2 linked regions of the Drosophila melanogaster genome follow. The protein of the gene in region 2 interacts with the protein of the main gene of each other region in a pairwise test. Each region holds a gene or a part of one and is shown on either strand. Other genes may lie near its edges.

Region 1 (3,605 bases), on a different chromosome or scaffold from region 2:
CCTTTGAATCCTTCTTAATCTCCAGTCGGAGAGCAAACAAAAAGCAAAAGCAATCTTTCCTTTGTGCCACGTCTCGAAAGTCTGAAGAGATCCTTGCCAGCACAGCCTATTTGCTGCTGTTTGCTCCTTTTGAGGACCTTTGCTTTTTCGAGGGTAAACGCTGCAGTGCCAGAGGTGGAGAACTTTGCAAGACTGAATAAAAGTCGGCCTAAAGTCTTATTGTTTTCTGGTTTTTATCTGAAAGCTGCTGCTGCTGCTGCCTCAGCTCTGTCATTCGAGGTCCTGTGAAGTTGGCGATTATTGTTGCAAACTTAGTTGACAACTTGCCTGCTCGTCCTGCCATCTGCACCGCCCACTTATCGCCACCACCGCCCACCCCAAGGCCATGCAGATGATGGGCCGCCAAGCGTAATAAGGCCGAAGCCCAGGGAAAGAGGAAGTCTAGTGAAAATAAACAGTCGGACAGCCAAGTTGGGCATAGTTGAGCTTCTCGGCATCTCAGCTTCGCAGTCTTGCAGTTTCCCAGTTTCCCACTCTCACAGTTTTTCAGTTTCCCAGTTCATAGTTTGCCTGTTGTCTCCCCATTGTCCTGGCCATTCTTTATTTTTCAGTCCTTCCACTCCGGCTCTATATTATTATTATGTCTTGGCCCGGACTGCACAAAGTTTTGCCATTCTCTAACGACTTTGAATTTTTAATAATACCCCGCTGGAGCTTAACAATTTTGCCATCGTTCGGTTGTAGCGGCTAAGCTTTGTTACCAATTTAATGCATTTCTTGGTTGACGGAAATTGAATATCCGTTAAGATATATTAACAATTTATGCCGCCCTGATTGCCGACCCCCAATGCGGGTGCGGAATGAGGAGATCTATGCCTTTTTTGCAGTAAAATTGAAAACGAAACGAAACGGAACCAAAGCACACAGATACTATACACGAACGAACGGTAGCTGTGGCAAGAGAGCAGTCATCATCAGGGCCATAATGAGCAAGTCAATAGCCGGGCGGGCCAGCAGCAAAGGGAAAAGTCGAGGGGAAAGCCAGGCAATCGATGACGGAGCAAGGAAAATGCCGGCTGCCAGCAGTCATGCAGCGACGTGCGATAAAAAGCAGATTGCAATTTGTTTTACTGATTTCCATGCTTTTGGCTTTATTTGCACGACGGAAACTTTCATTAACATCAAACAGAAACTGAAATTGAAGCAGTAATGGCATCGCCAGCACTCCAAAGGATACAGCCACGGGGAAAAGCTGGAAAAGCCGATCGAAATGCACTTAAATCATGGCAAGAATGAGATCTACGGCATGCTTAAGTGGCATTATATGTACATACATATGCGCATATACGAGAATGCCATTATTAAGTTGCATCCTTCATTTGCTCAATTTGGCCAGTTGACCAGCTGGCCATTTAATTGATACGGCAAAAGGTCAGGGTGATGGTAGACCCACTTGACACCTCACCAAATTCCAGAATTCTTTGGGCAAACATTTGAGCAACATAAATGCACAAGTCCTACCAACCAATTAGTTGGCAAATAATGGAGAGAAATGACTTTTCATCTCTCGACCGCAAACAAAGTCCTTTTGTATTCCACCCAGGACCTCCTGTTCTGAAATTTATGCACGGACTTGGGCCTGCAAGGATCTCGAGGAGTGGCGGACGACTCTTGTTTTGTGTTCCAAGTAATTTGAACAAATTTGCGAGACATTTTGTGGCCTCCGAGCAAATATTTCAGGCCAATGCTAACCACCCCATCATCATCATCATGGCTTGGGCAGGCCTTTTGCGGACAAAGGCCAATTAACTTAAATAATTAGCCAGAAGTTTTCGCCATCGGAGATGAATCTCAGCCTACGAGATGCTCAAGTAATTTCAATAAAATGTTATCATTCGGTTGCTGTCGAGTTGCCAGGGAAAATCCAATCAATTATCGCCCAAGGGAAGCAAATTCGTACAGAAAGTTAAAGGCCCAGGGAAATGGGAAACAAGCTGCGCCGCCAACCACAAAGAGTTGAAGTTGACGAGGAGGAGGTGAGATCCGACCGACCCCAGAAGAAGCCACCATCGTCATGGCCCTTCTGGCGCCTGGTCTACTGGCTGGGAGTCCTCATCATGGTCATCGGCATCGGTGTGGGCATGTACTTCACCCTCAAGTCGGACTTCGGTGAGTGCTCCTCCTACGACGTCCGTTGCGATTGAGTGCTCCTGGCGATATAGAAACTTCCACGGAAATGGCGGAATTCATTACCCATTGAACTTCAACTAATTTGAAGCAGCTTGGCCTGCGAAAGCAATTGTTCTACATTTAGCGAGAGTAAGTATGCCAGCAGATATTAAAGAAAACTATTTAAAATTATTTCCCAAATTAGATTTAATTAAAACTTATACACCAGTTATGTTTTCTTGTCGAAACATCAGTTTGATCTTTTTACTTTTTATCATCGCAGTCTACATTTGCCTGTTTGTTTTATATATACTCCACAGAGTTGGTGAAGATAATTAATATTGGGTTTGTAATATTATTTTTCATTTGCCTTGCAGTATAAACCAGCTTATCTTTTCGCAGATTCATATGTAAAGTTATTCATTTGTCTGTTCTCCTGTTTGAATTGTGATATGCTAAGCTTGGTTATATCACTATCAACTTACGTGCAGTCCAATACTTGTCATACATGAATTCTAGCAGCTGGATCTTAATTAAAGCCGGATGAAACAACCCACCCCACACTAGACCGCCTCCTTTATTGTTAACAATTACAAAAGCAAGGCCGAAGCCGCGCAATCTCCAGCAACACATGCAGATACATTTGTGCATGTAGACGTGTGTATTTGTGATGCTATTCAAACTTATTGGAGCGCTTCCTTTTGATGGCGTTCTGGTTGACTCTTCAATGGCGAAACACTTTTTAGTTGAATGAAGCTAGTGAATGCACATATTTTGGGTTGCATATAAAAAATCCTACGATTATTCACTGGCCCTATTTATTTTGGTGTTAATTAACGAAGTGGAGAATGGCATTCATTGATAAAAGTGTACAACGATTTTTATTTCACATATTTATGCTATTGCTGTAATTAAAATAACAATTTGAATTAAAACTCTAATTTTAATAAATAAACTAAAATTGCACACTTATGACGACACATTTTATTTAAATTACCAGCTTAGGAAGTTGATTGCTTCTACTAAACGAGACAAAAGTTATTTATTTCGGTGCGTTGGGGGTTTATCTTAAAACGACTTCTTATGAGAGGGGCCATCAGTCAAGGTCAAGCTTAACAAAGATTTGTCGGCAATTCGAGCTTTTATTTCTTTGACACTTGCCAGACTTCTTTCGTTCGCACACAGCAGGTGAAATATAAATAAACTTTTTAATGAACTTTAAGATTTATTGCCAGCAGCAGCCGCAGCAAGTCAAGTCTGACACTTTGTGGCTTTAAATTTTCGGACGGGAATGTGCTGTTTAGATAAATTATACAGCACAATATATCCCGAAGGCACTGGCTGGCTGACTGAATATTTTGAATGTGAAGAGCACCCTGCCCTGAACTAAATATTCTGCAAATAATTGCACTCGACATCGACTGAATAGACCTAGC
Region 2 (2,733 bases):
GTCACGCCCACTCTAACGGCCTAAACACGCCAAAAACTGCCACGCCCACATTTTTAGGCAATTTTTAATTTTTTTCTCATTTTATTCCCCAATATCTATATCGATATCCCAGAAAAATGATGAAATTCGCGTTAGCACTTCCACTACCTGAGTAACTGATATCTGATAGTAGACGAACTTGACTTGAGATCGGTATACTCTCTTGTTTTAATTTGGGCAATCCGACCTAGAAATGACCGCCTGTTCTTATGAACTCCGAATTTTCGGTAACTTCAAAGGCTATCCGGTTGAGATTAAGCATGCAGACTGAAGTGGCGGCGCCCCAAGTTCACTTTAAAAGATCGTCACGTCCATAGAAACACCCCCAAACTGAGCAAATTTTCTGAAAATGTTTTGTTGTTTTTTATTATTATTTCTTATACCAATTTCACTTAATATGCTAAGCATATTTTCGGACACATTCTGTTAAAAATTTGTTATTGCTAAAAAAATGTATTTACAAGTCGATGATCTCAATTTTAGCGACATATTTTTTTGTTTTTATTTTTAATATAACACCTAATTGTTATTAGTTTATATTTAAATATTTTTAATATATATATTCGGCTTTATCTCAGTCAAAACGGAAGTACACAATCGCATCCTTGGTCTTGACTACGATAATTTCCTCACTATTATCGGAATAAAGCGGATAAGGGCACAGGTGACAGCGAACACTAATATATTAGCACGGACCTCATCTTTGGAGCGCTCCTCAATTCTAATCGGCTCAATGGACAGTGTGCGAAACATCTTGACTGCAGATGTACGCAGAGCTTTAGTTGCTATTTATCACCGTTTAACATACTTACATAGATTGCTTAACTAATTTAGAAGATTTTGTCTTTCTTCACTTATGTGTTGTGGTTGGGTAACCTATTCAAACGATTTAAATATAGAACATAGGCGGGAAAAAATCAGATTATTGACACAATCTCTGATAGATTATTCAATGACAGTCTGAGTGTTCTGGCGAAAAACTAAAGTTGTTTAGCTTATAGTACACATTATTTTTTGATTTTTTTCACCATTATGAGAGAATTTTGAGAAAAAGGACCTCAAAGTTGCAAAATAAAAAGTAGCAAATACCTAGGGCAATATTAACGTTATTCGTTAATCAATTACTGTTTGCGTGTTTTTTCGACTTTTGAAATCTACCCGGAGTCTGAAAGAACTAAATCTCACAGAAATTTTTTTGCAAGTTCTCCTTAAAGATTTCTTTAACTTTTGCGGAAAAGCCTGCGGAGCGCTTTCAGCCATTTGACCTAGGGATCCCCGCAGATGTTAAAGAAACACTAAACTTCTTTAATGCTCTTTACTTGGATGGATTATCGTTGTCATTGACAGCAGAATTGGCAAGGCCTTGCCTAAAAAGAGATCCTGTTCCTTGTTCTCCTTTGTAACTCAACGTTACGTAATACGTATCCAGATTTTTTTATATCAATGAACCTTGGCGAGTCATAACGACGGATAAGCTTCCATTACTTTCTATACATTATTTAAGGGAATATGTCTTAGTAGAGATATGGAGTAAAAAGCGAACAGGATGATAATTCCGACCGCCAGTTTGGTTTTAGGCACCACAGGATTTCCTGGACGTTCAGGAAGCTTTCATCCGTGGTTTGCCTGATGGCTTTCTTTATAAGTAACTGCTTATTTATAAATAGCTTAAAATTGGCCACAGCAGTTTCTTTTTTAAGGGAACACCATTCCATAATCACCACAGGCGCAGTATTTGGGTCTGATCCTGGACAAGCGGCTCGCCTGGAACAGATTACAATGAAAATCGCAGCTTTATGTCGGGCTAACTTAACTGGCTGCTTAAGCCAACTAGTAACCTTAACCATGGTGTAGACAAAAAGGACTTATACGTTTCCAAGCTCCTAAATCAGTCATAGCTTTTATTCTCATTCAATTAAAAATATTATATGTGGAATGATACGTTCTAATAAATATTCTTTAAATAAATTTAGAAATATTAAGTTGTATTGCACGTTAAGTGAAGTTAAGTCACGCTTTAAAAACTTAATGCATAAATAGATTGTGTGTTTGTATTGTTAGTAAAAATATCTGCGTATTTCGCTCAAATTGAACAAGTTCACATTTTTGTAAAAATAATAAACAAACAATAATCAAATATAAATACTCTTTTTGTTTCTGAAGCCTTCTTTTGTCTCCCGACCACAAAGCATCAAAGCGGTTTATCGGTTGCAATGCCGATGGAAACGCTGGACTGGGCCTAAGTCAAATACCGTGTTGTGGGCCCATTAGTCCGAGCAGATTCCGGTGCACATTATTTCTGGCCACGGCACGTGTTTGAACCGCAAACAGATTCATTTTTGCAGTACCGAGTCTCGTCCGATGAGGACAACGAAATATGAGTAGGCGGCTGCTACTAAGGGCAGTTTGCGCATTCCAAGTCTCGGTCCAGGATCCGTTGCTGGAGCTGGAGCCGGAGGCGGTGCCGGAGGAGCACTGCAATTCGTCCTCGGGGTCTTTTTGGTGTTAATAATAAATAAACGGACCGGCCGTGCAGCAGGAGTCCTGCCCGTGTTTTGGACACACTGTAGCGGATTTTAATGGACGAATGCGAGTGCAGCGGCGGAGTGGAGCTAAAACCCATAAGCCATACCCGGAGCACACCTTTTCCCAGGTGCATGTGTGACACCCGAACCCTTCCTACGTTTCTGCCTT

The links. The genes of interacting proteins can lie anywhere in the genome.
Region 1: the proteins of CG34173 (region 2) and CG17580 interact in a two-hybrid assay, tested with the Drosophila melanogaster proteins (one large-scale study listed by BioGRID).

Annotation. Positions count from the first base shown.
Region 1 is NT_033778.4:12,804,716-12,808,320, forward strand, and holds CG17580 (uncharacterized protein), read left to right. Parts: upstream 1-1,898; 5' UTR 1,899-1,982; coding exon 1,983-2,204; 3' UTR 2,205-2,319; intron 2,320-2,374; 3' UTR 2,375-2,514; intron 2,515-2,571; 3' UTR 2,572-3,096; downstream 3,097-3,605.
Region 2 is NT_033779.5:22,053,321-22,056,053, forward strand, and holds CG34173 (uncharacterized protein), read right to left. Parts: upstream 983-2,733; 5' UTR 852-982; intron 798-851; 5' UTR 793-797; coding exon 655-792; 3' UTR 514-654; downstream 1-513.